Neurospora crassa OR74A: one gene and its partners. The protein of the gene in region 3 purifies or fractionates together with the protein of the main gene of each other region. This does not show direct contact. Links are inferred from orthologs where the notes say so. Each region holds a gene or a part of one and is shown on either strand. Other genes may lie near its edges.

Region 1 (4,420 bases), on a different chromosome or scaffold from region 3:
AGAGGTTCGTATCGGCGAGGGGAAGCGCAGGTTCAAGACCAAGGGCGCGTCGGTATCGTTGTGTTGTTGGTGGGGGTTTGGTTTGCAGACATCGGCCGCGCGGATGCTCAGGACGGTGTCATTCTCGAGGACCCGCCAATGGAAAGCACGGGGCGAGGCATGGTGCTTTCGGTAGTATACTGATGAGGCAGTGGCTATGTTACGGGTTCGGTAGGCCTTCTCGTCGTCGGCGGCGTTGATGGCACGCGCGCTTGCTGTTGTCGACCTGCTGAAGGAGCTCTGGTTGTGCGATCCGACGCGGATCTGGACAATCGACGACGACGTGGACGGCTCGAGGTTAAGGCGCGTCTCTTTGTAGAGAATCTCAAAATCCCGTGCGCTCATTTTGTTCCCATGGGTATCTTCCGGTGCGGTATAGGAAATGTTGAGAGTTTGCTGTCGCGCTTTTTGGAGATGCAAACGCGGTTGTTGCTTTTGGCTTCAGAATTTCTGGCCGCCCACTGCAGCAGAAGTTCAACTGTTCAAGTTCCCAAGCACAGCGCAACGCTGCAAGCGTCGGTAGCAGTTGCAGCGGGTCAGTCAATCGCTGGCGTGGTTGGTGGGGAAACTCGGTGCTAAGCCCAAGTATCCCGCGCTAGTGAGAGACTATGCGAATAGGACACACTGCAAGGTGGTACGTCACATCAAGAAGGAAGCAATAGCCTTTGAAATCCGCGATTTTATTAACAACGCTAGATGGATGATAGCCCTTAATCTGTAACTTCAAGTCACAGAGCGTACCTTTTGTCCTGACACATTCCCTCGAAGATTATGTGGTGCATGGCCTGTTGCATCACGAGTATGGACGACAGCAACTTGGATTTCAATGAAATTTCCTTCACGTTAACGAGAGCTTCAGCTTCGGTGGTGAGGTCTTTGGATGATCAAACCTGTGACACTTGCCCTCAGCATCGAGACGCTGCTTCTGCACAGGTCAAATGATCAGTTGGCGAGATGACTTTGACGGCTTCACTTCGTCGATTGTATTAGAAAAAAAAAACAGTGTACCGTAGTTATTGATAACTCTACCAACTCCCAAGTTTTACCAGTCATACCAGACAAGTGTGACGCCAGGCTGCCCTCCCATGCTAACAATAAAAACGCGCTATGCCCATCAAAAACACACATTATCCTTATACCGTCAAATCAGCAGCCCCTTGCGTCCCTAGATTGTTGTATGAATTTCGTGTTGATTTGCTGTCGCCATCCCCACTGCAAACTACTGATTCATCTTCTCCATATCCTTCGGGCTAGGATCACCAATGCCGTCCTCGTTGATGGCAAACAAGCAGTCGCTCTCTGGTAAACATGGGCTGTCGTAGATCTTTGCGATTCTGGTCTCTCCGCGACCCTTCTTCAGGCTGATGCGAGTAGTACTGGCGTGCGCAATGATGTTGCCACCAATTGGTTTTTTGGGGTCTGGATTAAACATGGCAGACGGACCACCATCAACCTGCGCCACGACCTGATTGGTGATCACCACCGCAATACCAAACTCGTCGGCAAGGCGCTGGAGTGTGCGCATAAACTTTGCGAGATGGGTTTGGCGGGAACTGAGTTCGCCACGACCCAAGAAGTCCGTTCTGTAGAGCGAGGTCGCGGAGTCGACAATCAACAGACTGAAGCGGGTCTCGCACATCATGGCTGCGGCCTGGTTCAAGAGCTGCAGCTGATGGTCCGAATTGTAGGCTCTTGCGTACGCAACGTTGTCAAGAACTTCTTCGCCTGAGAGACCGTATCGGTTGGCCACTGCTAGGAGACGCACAGGCCGGAAGGTACCTTCAGTGTCGATGTAGAGACATTTTCCCTCACCACCCCCCATGTCAAATGGGAGCTGGCATGTTACCGCAAGAGTATGGCAGATCTGCGACTTTCCTGTTCTGAACTCTCCAAAGATTTCGGTGACACTGCCGGTCTCGATACCACCAGCCAATAGTGTATCCAGATTTTTGGAGCCTGTCGTGATGGAAATCAGTTCGCTGCGGCGCTGGTGCATCTCCGTCGCAGTAGTAAAACCCATAGGCACAAGTTTAGAGGCTTGATGATAGTGTCAGTAATCATGCACTCCCAAAATGGAACCTCTAGGAATGTCAAATGCTGGCTACTGACCTTCTGCCAGGATTTTCCCTGCCTTTTGCTCCGAAATACCTTTGATCTGCTCCAGTACCCTCCGGGGGGTATAGGCAACAGATTCAACGGTGTTGAAGCCTCCATCAACAATCAGCTGAATGTCTCGCTTGGTAAGTCCGGCAACACCCTAGGCAAGTCAGTTGGTTGTTTGCAATCCGGATGGATCCATCAAAGAAAGTGATCCGTACCTCTAGAGCAGAAAGTGGTGTTGGGGCGCCTGGGTTTGGTATCCCGCTGTCGTCCTCCATGTTGGCAGACTCATCGTACTCCTCGTTGTTCGACATCGTGCTATTTGTTGTGCTCTTCGGTGCAACAATTTCGGGGTTTCTTTACGTTTAGTGATGGTATGTATGACCAGCAGCGAGCGAAAACGTCTTGGATATGGCCACAGAAAAGCAAGACAGAAAGGCGCAAGAAGAAAAAAAAGCGAGCGGGACTGGAGCCAAGGATACGCAAATGTTGACAGAGGCGAAAACAGCAGGCAAGAGCGCGACCCGCGTCCTACAAATTGGGGAAGTGCGACACGTTAACATGTGACCTGGATGACCAATCCAGCCCAGCATGCGGGATACTAATAAGGTACCTACTAGACACCATTGGCCCCGCCGGATGCCTAGATTCAGTGGAGCCCAGACGGGAATGACGGAGGCGACAGGATGGTTCCCCTGTGGGGTCCGCTACAACGAACCGAACGGTCACCCCTGGGGGTTTGTCACTTCATGCCAATTCCGTACACCACAAACACTATGGTACTCCCCGTCAACATTGTCACAGGCGTCTTCGTATTTACGGCGTACACCGATACAGAGATACAGTTTTCATGCTATTTTATTCCTACTGCCCTCTGTCCGAGAACACCCTATCCAAAGAGGAGACAACAACTCTTGCTCATTAGGTTCTCGACGCGGCCGCCTCTTCCGAGTTTTTGCCACCTCGGTTTCTAGGACCAAGTATCACAGTCATTTAACGACGTCTGCCGCCTGTGTCCCATTTGAACAAATCTCAGGGAACACCCACAAAAGAAAACCGCAAGAATGGCCCAACAATGCAACTTTTGGAGAGGCCGATGTATGCTCCTCACTCACTACCTCCATCCATACCCAGACACACGACTACCCTGGCTAATTACCTCACCATCTTCCCTCCCCCCCCTTGCGGACTGTTAAGATGCGTCATGGTTTATCCTGGGCTCTATACCCGGTGTTCCAAGCCTTCCCACAGGTAGGATGTCAAAACCCGTCATCGACTCTCCGAGCAGCAGATCTGTTGTTAGGTGTAAAATGCAAATTCCTAGGCCCCAAGGTCGGCTCAGGGGCAGTGATTATCATGGGCTTCGTATCCTCCTGCTGTGCTGCTGATATATCACCTGCAAGGAGGGAGTGCCAAAGGGATCACCGACGGCGACATCTCTTCTTTCAGCTCCTCTTGGCTCATACAGTCTTTCCCCTCCTTCGCCGCCGCTGGATGAGTTATAGGATCTTCCACTGTCGCTTCTCGGTAACCGCTGATGGGCAGAATCAGCGTAGGAGTCGCCTGATTTAGAATCAGTGATTTGCTGGTCTCGCCTGGTAGGACCACCAATGTGCCCATCCCGGGCCTCTTGTTGTCGTTGGGAGTTTCTGGTCGGCACATAGATGTCATGGACTGCTGGTCTTTGTGGCGGCTGTGCTCCTCCGTCTTGGCCTTCGAGTCTGCGGAGGGTATCTTCGTTCAAAGCATGGGGAACCCGCAAGCCGTGGCGACGAGGGTAATCATGCCTCTGGTCTCGTGGGATGGGTGGGGGGATTGCCCCTGATGAGGCACTCTCCAACGACTCGGAATCCGTCAGTCCTTGCAAGAGTGAGCCGTCGGGGGTGACAGGGCTTCTTGCCGTTGCCGTGACACCTGCCGCCCCCTTTATCTTCTCCCTCCTCTGCTGCTCCGCGCCCAGATACACCAGCGTCACCGCCGAGGTAGGTTTTGTTTCGGTGGGAGTCGCCGGTCTCGAAATCCAAATGCCGTCAACTTGGACGCCGCTCTGGATCGCCCGGACCCCAAAAGGAATGGTGCTGGCTGCTGCGCGCTTGGAAGAGGTAGGTTGGAGCCCCGTGCTGCGCATGTTATTGATCCGCGCCTTCTTTTCCTCGTCCAAGATCTCCTGTTTTCGTACGATGCGGTTCGTCCACCACAGCTTGACCAAACCGGCGCAGAAGACGGCTACTATCGCTACGGCAAGCGCCTTGGGATAATAGTATCAGCGAACTGCCATCTT
Region 2 (4,711 bases), on a different chromosome or scaffold from region 3:
CAAAGATCGACTGAACGTAGGGCTCGAGAACGTTGGCTGTACGACATTTGTCAGTCTCTGCAAAGCGCGCTTAAGACCGAGGAAACTTACTCTTATCGCTGCCCTTCATGGCACCAATGATGCCACCCCAGGCGTCCATAATACCCTCACGGAGAGAGATCACATAGTCGAACATCTCATAAGAGCCCTCGGCGGAAGCGGTAACGGTAGCAGCCTGCTGAAGGACAACAGCAACAACCGAGAGGTAAGCCTCAAAGTGACCGCCAATAGCGCCAGCAATATCGCCGAAGCACTGCAAGATTGCAGGCTTGAACTGGTTGGCAAGAGCAGTGCTCCTAAGATTGTTAAGGAGATAGTTCATGAACTGATCGCAGTATGGCTGGCTGCGTTCGCCCATGGAGCGAGTGATATCGCTGACCAGGCCGATAGCCATGGAGCAGAGACTCGGCTCTTCCTGGTTTGCCAGGGCATTGTACAGGAAGGGAGCAAAAGCGTCCATGTACTTGGCAAAGTCCTCCTCCATGGCGTTCGCAAGGCCGCTGATGGCTGCGAAGACACCTTCAGGAACAGCCGACTTGCCATTAATAGTGTTCAAGAGCTGAAGCAGAACCTGCATGATGCGGTCGCCTTGGGGAGTGATCTCCTTGTCCAGGCGCTGAATGATTGCCTGGAGCACGGTGCAGAGACTGGTCTGCATATCCTCGAGAGTGATCTTGTCTTCAACGCTGACAACTTGGGATTGCAGGGGCAGTGTTTCCTCCAAACGTTGAAGGATAACATCCGAGAGGGATGCAACAGCAGGGAGACTGTCGTTGGCAGCATTCTGCACAAACACGTTAAGAACCTCGTAGGCAGCGGTGCGAACTGTAGCGTCACCGTCAAGCTTCGCCGTCACGGCGAGCAAGTTGGTCACGCACTGGTTGAAGTGAGGAGTAATGGGGTTTTGCGCGGCACCATATTCGCCGCCAAAACGCTCCGCGAGGTTCATCAAAGCCCAGCAGCAGGACGCGGCCATTCTGGGGCTGCTCATGAGGCCGTTGAACAGGGAGGTGATCAAGGGGTCAAGGTGAACAGCAGGATCGATCACTTCCGAGCAAGTTTCTGTAATTCTGCCAAGAGCGTATGCGGTCGAGTCACGAACATGTAAAGAGGGGTCCTCCATCATGCCGATCAAGGGCTGCATGCCAGACTTGACGATAGGCTCAAGCAACTTCTCCTCGGGGCCGTCCATCATGGCACCGAAAGCAGAAACAGCGGCATCACGGAGGTGCCAGTCGTCAGCGCGAAGGTTGGCTTCAACGAACTGGATGACTGGCTGGATGATTGCCGCACCAACAGCCTGAGAATAGAGTTGGAGACACTGGTACGCGGCACGCGAAATGTTGTACTCGTCATCAGCCGCATCCTCATCTTGCTTGGTGAGGAGCTGTAGGAGCACAGGGACCACTTCGAGTGTAGCAACGCGGGCGAAGTTGTAGAAGGGGCGCATCTGCTCCGAGCTCTCAACCTGCAGCTGTTGTTAGTGGGATTCTTGCTCAACCAAGGTGGCAGTGAAACGTACCTGAGCATTGTCATCTTCGATAGCAATCTCCTCTTCGCAAACGGTACTCCAGAACTCAACTGCAAGCTTGGCCACATCCTCGTCATCGCTCTTCATGCCCAGGATGGTGAGACCAAACAAAGCCTTTTCCATGTAGAAGCGCATGTTCTCGTAGTAGAGGGCCATGATGCGGTTGAGGCAACCATAAGCACCCTGCTGTATCCGAGAGTCCTCGGCCTGTGTCGCCTCGCAAATAACCTGCATAATGTAGTTGCGCTCGCCCTCATGCTTAAAGTTGTTACCGACAAACTCAAGAGAGTCGCCGAGGGCGGTAATGGCGGCAAGTCGAACTTCGCGGTTGGGCTCCTCCTTACGAGCACCTTGGACAACAGCTGTGAGGATGGCATTGGAATGTTGAACCAGGCTGTTTCGTAGATCGACATCTTGACTCTCGCAGATGAAGCCGATGGTGGTCAGAGAGGCCTGCTTCTGGTGCTCGCTTCCCTCGCTAACATTCTTGACCAGGGCGTGCATAAGGTCTGGCCACTCGTTTCGTGGTAACTCGATGGTAGCGATAGCCGCGATAACCTGCGCCGAGGCCTGGCTTGCCTGGGTACTGCTGGAGGCGAGGGTCTCGAGGGTGAGCTGTTTCACCCGTGTCTTTGTGTCTTGGTCTGTCTGCTGAAGCCATTTTGCTTGGAGCTCTGCTTGCCTAGCGAACTCGCGAGCACTGAAGGCGTTCTTGAGGGCGATACCGGCCGCCGCTCGGATGTGGCTCTGGGCGCTCTCATTTGCCAACTCTTGGACAAGTGTCACGAGGTATTGAGACTAAGAAACAGCCAAGTTAGCGTTTATGAAGGCCTTGCTGTGGGGACGCGACACAGGAGCAACGAGGGGAGGAGGCCATACGAAGTTTGTCTGAGCGGCTTGGCTGAGCTGCTGTTCGGCAGCATGTCGCAGGGTCGCGTCTAGAGACAAGGAGTCAGCATGTGCGTCACGGCTTGGACGAGCTGACGCGATTCATCATGGCGAGAGCGGCTGCCAAAAGGCAGGAGGGTCGGGGCATGGGTGAGGATGTCGAATATATACTGACCAGGACTCAGCGAGTTGGTGAGGACGGTGTTGATATCTGAAGAGCCCTCCATGGTTGCGGTTTGGATGCCTGGTTCGGAGGAAGAACGGGTCTCTCTCCAGCAAACGAAGCGGGTTGGCGGTGGTAGTGGGAGAAGAGGGAGGGGGGGGGTTTCCGAAAGGGAGAGAAAGTCGGCCTGGGCTTGATGCAACTAAAGTTTTGCTGCGTGGAACAAGCGGGGGGCGGGAGTCCAAGGTTCACGGTCCACAGCAACCTTGAATCTTAATCGGGGCAAGACTCGATTTGCTTTCGGTGAGATCAGATCGAACCGCAGAGGCGAGGCGCAGATGCAGAGCCGTGGGTGGGATCTGGATGCCAGGTGATGGCGGTTGGTGGATGGATGGTATCGATGCGGTCCGTCTGGAGACGATTGCGATGGGGATAGAGAGGGATGGATGGGGGATGGCGATGCGAGGGGTTTGTCGCTGTTCCGAGCGTTCGCCTGCAAGTGGAAGGAGAGAGGAGAATCCAGACACAGTGCAGTGCTGACGCCGAACTGCGGGTCTTGTTTTGCTCGAAAATTTTGTCAACAATCGCAGGTGCTGATGCTTCGCCGTGCTGGTGAAGGTGCAGGTGGGTGGGTTGTGTATGCTTTCAGTTTCGATGCTGTCCGGCTGGGGGGGGGGGGGGGGGGGGTGTTGTTGCCTGTTGTTGTTGGGAGGGACGGGAGCCTGTAACGTATCCCAGTACCTAGTGCTGTGTTTGGTGTTACCTTCGTCGCCTGGCTCGTGCGGTTTCTTCGCTAAACTTTTGCTGACCAGGCCTGAAAGGTCGACGGGAATGCTCGCCTGCACCAAACGGCTCGCTCCGTGTTTCTCGGGAAAGAAGGAATTAGACGTCTCACTGCAGGAAACGACTTGGGAAGAAGGGACAATGAAATGCAAAACCTCTGCAAACACTTCAAGAAGACGCTTTGCCCACGGGCAATTGAACAAAGTTTTAGGATAAAGAACATCTGTCCTTTCATGTGAAGTGGAAGTAAAAGATGGCACATGGTGTACCTAGGTACCTATGATGGATGTCTCCAAGAACACAACTGAGGTGGCCAGGCTCCCACGACGCCCAAGGCTCAGTGCTTCACTACTAGCAACTACACCCTACCCGGCAACCGCAGGGCTGCTAGACGTTGAACGGGGGTCCAGGTGCCGCATTTGAAGTGGAGGGCTGAAGGCCGGGGGGTCGTGGAAAAGGGAGGGTGAGAGAAGTGACGTTTCTATCCGCTTCCAGATGTGCACTGTATCTTTTCTTAGGCGTTACCACCAACTCTACAGAAACTTACCAACAACAGTTACCTGCGGACCAAGGTTGAGAGACCTATCCTCTATGACGCACACCCCCTCCCCGCCCAGATTGTGGTCTCTCTTAGTTACAACTGAAGTACCTACCTACGTATAATGTTGCTTCCCTGGCGCTTGTTCAAAGGTCCCTGCCTGCCTGGCCGGCTGCCAGACAAGCCAGACTTCCATGCTAACAGGCAAAAGGAGATGGGGCTCTCATCGGCATTGGCTGCCTAGGCTAGCAGTGACTTCCCTCCCTAATATGTAGGGGGTCTCTGAAATCCAAGAAGCCCCCATCCCTTTTCTTCCAGAACACCCGTCAACAGAAAGCGTTGTGGATGTAGTGACCACTTCTAAACTGTTAGATAAAGAACGCTCCTTGTCGTACCAGTTAATACCTACCTACCTAGCGATTATAAGAAGGTACCACAGATTCACGATCAAGCTCCCTCTCCAGCATCCCTCGGGGATTGCTGTGTCGTCCGTATAAGTCTTCCCACCAAGATAAATACCTGCACTTAATAAGGGACAGCCAACGGCTATTTGGTTGGGTTTCCAGGGCCTACACTAAGACAGAAAACACTCGGCCTCCATTACCGTTACTGTTTTATAAAGTGCATAACAGACTATTTTGCCTCCCTTCCATAAGCGTGTTCTGGATGCATATCTCGTCCATGGCCTATCCTTACTCAATAGCAGACCCCCTCCTTCCCCGGTGTTTCACCCGAAAGGCCGTGCAACAAGGTGGGAGAGATGAGAGGC
Region 3 (4,799 bases):
GGAGTCACGGCAGGGGATCCCGACGACGGCCGATAAGGAAGATACGGCGTTTAGGTTCCTGTCATCCATCTGCGTAATCGATAAGTGCCGATACGGTATCGAGCAGCTAAACAGTCCGCATAGAGACCGGAGCCGGGGTGCCTATTCACATAACGGAAGTTGGAAAGTGAAGAAAGATGACCAGGAAAGGCTGTGCCACGGGTTCTTTGCGTGAAAAAGCTGAAGCATAGAAGAGTTTGAGAATACGAGAGGGTGAAGAAGGCCGATAACGGATGAGATGATCGGATTGCCATGTGGATATTGAGCCCGAAAGGTGCGTATTACATTGCAAGGACCGCCCTGATCCGACCTTGACCAGCTCTGGAGCTTTCTTCTAGTCAACGAAGCGTGTGTACTTACCTCGGCATGTTATCGAAGATAACTCGAACAGGAAGGTCTCCTAGTGTCTCAACTCCAAGATAACGCTTGAGAGACCTATTCAAGTCTGCAATCATGCCGAAATTTGCTGCCACGCCAACAAAGTTCTGTTAGGGTTCGGCCCATCACAGCTCTTAACCATCCCAGTCCATCATGAAACTGCAAATCATCTTTCAGTCGATAGGCCAGTGATGCCCATATCGTTCATCCTTGAGACCACATGCCCGAAAATACAAACACGTGTTCATTAACCATATACATCATCTAGTTCCTCGCATAAGTGAACAAACCCCACCCTCCCCTTTACATGCTCATTTGGTTGTAAGAATTGATGAGCTCGTTAAGCTTGTTTCCTTCCATCTTGTAGTCAAGGGGCGCCACGCTCATGACCTGGTATCGAATCCTGCAACAAGCAATGTGTCAGCAACGTCCATCTAATCGTGAGAATAACCCCCGATACGTACCTCTGCTGTTCACCAAATGTGTCCATCTTCGCCCTGCACCTAAAGTTCAGCTTGCGGCAGTTGGCCTGCTCAAACTCGGCGGGCAACCGCGTCTCGTCGGTCTCTCGAATCTCCATAAGTTCATCGGCCGACTTGCCCATGATGACCCGCGCCGTATCGTCGAAGCAGCTAAGCCAAAGTTGACCTGTGTGGTCGTTGACGTTGACGCTCATAATGTAACGGTACTGAGGTCTATCGTGGTTGATCTGGCACTTCTCGCAGCGCCAGGTACCATCACCCATATCTGTGACCTTCCTGTTACAGCCTTCGCTTCGGCACCCAGGGTAGGCAAAGTTATCCTGCTTGATGAATACAACCGTTGCCTTGAGAGCGAAGTAATCCGGCGCCTCGTTTGTGCCAAGGTTCTCTTCCTTTACTTGTGAGATGGTCTTGGCGTCGTCCTTGCGACCGGTCGCACCACCCAAGGTCTGCATGTTGTTGTGGGTGGCGAAGGTGTTGTTCCTGCCGCTGCTATCATACCAGCCCTTGAGATGATGGGCCTCTGGAATATCCGGATCGATGGCCATGGTGCCAGACGAAAGCAGGGACAAGCTGCGTCCACCGAAATCGCTGACCTTTGTGCCCTTGAAGGCCACAATGGATTCAGGCTGAGCATCAAAGTTCGTGGCCGTCTTACCCCAGATGGTACAACGTACCGAGTACCCAGTGTTGTCAACAAGGGTCAGCTCGCGCTTGTCGTACGGCTTCTGTGTGGTCTTGGATACAATCTGGGTCACCTCTTGGACCTCCTTGAGGACACCAATAATATCGACAGTCGCATCCCTCTCAACATCCTGAAGCTCCTGGATGTTGACAAAGTTGAAGCGTACCTGTGGTACAGATGTCTGGTCTTCGGCCTTTTCGATCACGGTATCCCGCTCAAAGGTGAGCTCGTAGTCATTGGGGAGATTCGACCATTGCTTCTTGGCAAGCTGTACCCTGCAAGGTGTAGAAATGTAGTAAACCTGACCCTCCTGTAGCAAATCATAGAACTGGTCGACTTGGTCGTTGAATCCTGTTGCTCTAATTTCGCCACTCTCGTCAAGAAAGTTGACGCTGAAGAGCTTGCCCTCGCCGCTAGCCTTGTGCCAGGTCTTGATATCGGACTTGGAGGTGACTCTGGCCTTGATGGTCCATTTGTGCGAGAAGGGCGAGAGACCTTCAATAGGATATATCGTGCTTGATCCCTGACCCCCGCTGGCATTACGCGAGGGCATCTGGCGTGGAAACTGTGGTTTCGTGTCTTGGGTAGGTTCGCTCTTGACGCCATAGAAGCCGGTGCTGCCGAGATTGGGGTTCTGCTGTGGTTCTGCACTGCGGGGGCCAAGAGGCTGTGGATCGCCCATCTTTTCGGGACAGCCAAGGGACTGGATAACTTCGAGATCGAGGACAATCAAGATGCTGGATTTAAACAGTCAGTGTTATGGATTTCCCGAATTGGCGGAGGGGTAGATAGGCGTACTTTTTGCCCTTGAGACATTGAGCTTGATACTGCTTCAAGCGCACGATGCAGCCGCGTTGCAGGAGGCCATCGTGAACAAGATGGTTTGTTTGCGTGGCCATCATACATTGGACATAGTTCTTGAGGTCGCTCAGCACAATGCGGAACCTCTCCGTGGCGCCCGCGCCCCCATTCTTGGAGTCGAGGGTCTTGATCTGGAGACATTGAAGGATGGGGACAGGGAACTGTTGTTGTGCGCGATCGGGATCATTGAACATGGCGCTATAGCAAGAAGTCAGAGTCTGTCATACTACTGGATGGAAGCACACGTGAAGAAACCTACTCCAGAGCGCCCTGTGTGATTTGACCCGCCATGTTGGTTGGGTAGTGTTGGCGTCAAGCCCGTGGAGACGTTCTCGATGTTGTTTTTGAGGTTGATTTATGCGTGAGTCGTGTTCGAAGATGCAAGGATTGGGGCGCAGAAGTCAAGAAAGATCCGACAAGATACGGATGGATCGAGTGTGTTGGACTGATGATGATGGTGGTCTGGAGGGGAAATTTCACACAAACAATGGACTGCAGCAGCGACGCGTTTGGCAGCGCGTCGAGGAGGGGCAAGAGTTTAATTGCTAGGCATCCACGGTCCGTGCGGAGGGCCCCAGTTTGTATAGCGCGTGTAGTTTGCGTTTGCCGGGGAGTGTTGCTGCCAAGCGCTTCTGACAAGCATGGCAGTTGCCCGCCAACCCCATATCTCCACATCAAACCCCACCCGAGAGCTCAACTTCAGCAAGTTCCAGGGGCTCAACTTCCCTCTTGGCCTCGTTCACTTCTTAAGCTTTTGGAACATGTCATGATTTCTCTGTCAGGTCTTGCAGATAGAACCCTTTTTGCTAATATATTCGCACAATCATGTGATGACTGTACATAACAAGGGTATCTTTCTTCCGGTGCTGTAGGAAGACGAAAGGGAAAAGGACCTTGGGTTCCTCAAGGAAATGGAAACCGAAGACGGGAGGTAACCATTCTTGATCAGGAACCCTATCTTTGAATCTTTCGGTGTGAATTGTCCCGTCTTGGGCCTGCCCTTTGCATGCCGAACGTACCCCACCTCGTCGTGGTTCCTGGCTGTCTGTGTCGATCCCATCTCCCACCCCCTCCTGACCATCGAGGTACTCTCCTCGTACTGTAGCGCGTGCCTGCCTATGCTAAAACGAATACAAAATATAAGAAGGAGAAGGCTCGATTGGAAGTTCCCCCGTTGCCTCAGTTACATCCCATCCATACCTCTACTTTTGTGTGTTCAGCGTTGGTCTGCCTGCAGGACGGTACACCGCTTCGACGTCCTGACCTTCCTACTTCCTGTCATCTCTGACTTTGCTTGCTTCGCTTGTCTCCTTCTCTTTCTCTATCACTGGATACCTTACTTTCTTGCCAAACATATCCGTCGCTTTACCAAACTCGAGCTCGATAACGGCCTGATCAAAATGGCATCATCTCCCGCCGTTTCCGTTCCCATCATCGACACCCATGTGCACCTCTATCCCCAGTCCGAGGTAGAATCCCACCAGTGGTACGCTGAAGACAATCCTCTCGCCAAGCAGCACTCCATCCAGGAATACCAGACCGCCACCGGTGCGCCTGGCAATCTTCAGGGCTACGTCGCAATTGAGGTCGACCGCAAGAACGACAATGCTAAGGATTGGACTTACCCCCTACAAGAGATCGCATGGCTTCGCCGCATCGTAACCGGCCAACCGAAGCCTGGCGAGGGCCACACGGCTGACGATGGCCGTGATTGTCTCGGAATTGTGCCGTGGGCGCCGGTTGTATTGGGCTCTGCCGAGTTGGAAAAGTATCTCGCAGCTGCGGAAAAGGAAGCCGGGCCTGAAACATGGGCCAAGGTGAAGGGTTTCCGCTACTTGCTGCAAGATAAGCCCAACGGAACAGCCCTAAGTGACGATTTTATCGAGGGCCTGAAGCTGCTTGGCAGAAAGAAGTTCGTCTTTGACCTGGGTGTTGACCAGCACAAAAGAGGGAGAATCCAACTGGAGGAGGCGGTAGAAATGATCGACCGTGCACACGAAGGTGTGGACGAGGAGGACAAAGTGGTATTTATCCTGAGTAAGTTTTTACCTTGACACATTCTGCATGATTTGCTTGCTAACTGATGGTTCTCATCTCAGACCACCTTTGCAAGCCAGATCTAACCATCGTCAATGTACAAACGGATCCCTCATACATCGCCTGGCGCACCGCCATGTTTACTCTCAGCAAGTGCGACCGTACCTACATGAAACTGAGCGGCTGCTTCAGCGAGATGCCCGAGTTTTTGAGGGCTCGCCCGGCCGAGGAAATTCTCTCTGCTATCCTACCCTGGCTTGCTGTGGTGATAGCCGCCTTTGGGCCCGAACGCATCATGTTTGGCAGCGACTGGCCGG

The links. The genes of interacting proteins can lie anywhere in the genome.
Region 1: the proteins of rpa-1 (region 3) and mei-3 purify together in Saccharomyces cerevisiae (affinity purification with mass spectrometry; 4 studies listed by BioGRID, with this or other methods). This does not show direct contact. The link is inferred for Neurospora crassa OR74A from reciprocal best matches to the Saccharomyces cerevisiae genes RFA1 and RAD51.
Region 2: the proteins of rpa-1 (region 3) and NCU02011 purify together in Saccharomyces cerevisiae (affinity purification with mass spectrometry; 5 studies listed by BioGRID, with this or other methods). This does not show direct contact. The link is inferred for Neurospora crassa OR74A from reciprocal best matches to the Saccharomyces cerevisiae genes RFA1 and KAP95.

The regions. Positions count from the first base shown.
Region 1 is NC_026501.1:3,388,367-3,392,786, reverse strand, and holds mei-3 (MEI3), read right to left. Parts: upstream 2,672-4,420; 5' UTR 2,454-2,671; coding exon 2,358-2,453; intron 2,297-2,357; coding exon 2,149-2,296; intron 2,077-2,148; coding exon 1,259-2,076; 3' UTR 988-1,258; downstream 1-987. Other genes in the region: NCU02742 (hypothetical protein), read right to left, coding at 1-384; NCU02740 (hypothetical protein), read right to left, coding at 3,494-4,387. UniProt on the Saccharomyces cerevisiae protein: Required both for recombination and for the repair of DNA damage caused by X-rays. Its function may be modulated by interaction with other repair proteins. RAD52 interacts directly with RAD51, via its C-terminus.
Region 2 is NC_026501.1:1,681,099-1,685,809, forward strand, and holds the start of NCU02011 (importin subunit beta-1), read right to left. Parts: upstream 3,288-4,711; 5' UTR 2,686-3,287; coding exon 2,634-2,685; intron 2,509-2,633; coding exon 2,450-2,508; intron 2,369-2,449; coding exon 1,562-2,368; intron 1,508-1,561; coding exon 91-1,507; intron 37-90; coding exon 1-36. UniProt on the Saccharomyces cerevisiae protein: Importin beta subunit that functions in nuclear protein import through association with the importin alpha subunit, which binds to the classical nuclear localization signal (cNLS) in cargo substrates.
Region 3 is NC_026505.1:1,821,703-1,826,501, reverse strand, and holds rpa-1 (replication factor-A protein 1), read right to left. Parts: upstream 2,974-4,799; 5' UTR 2,737-2,973; coding exon 2,705-2,736; intron 2,644-2,704; coding exon 2,383-2,643; intron 2,322-2,382; coding exon 882-2,321; intron 821-881; coding exon 721-820; 3' UTR 294-720; downstream 1-293. Other genes in the region: NCU03605 (amidohydrolase), read left to right, coding at 3,564-4,482, 4,545-4,799. UniProt on the Saccharomyces cerevisiae protein: As part of the replication protein A (RPA/RP-A), a single-stranded DNA-binding heterotrimeric complex, may play an essential role in DNA replication, recombination and repair.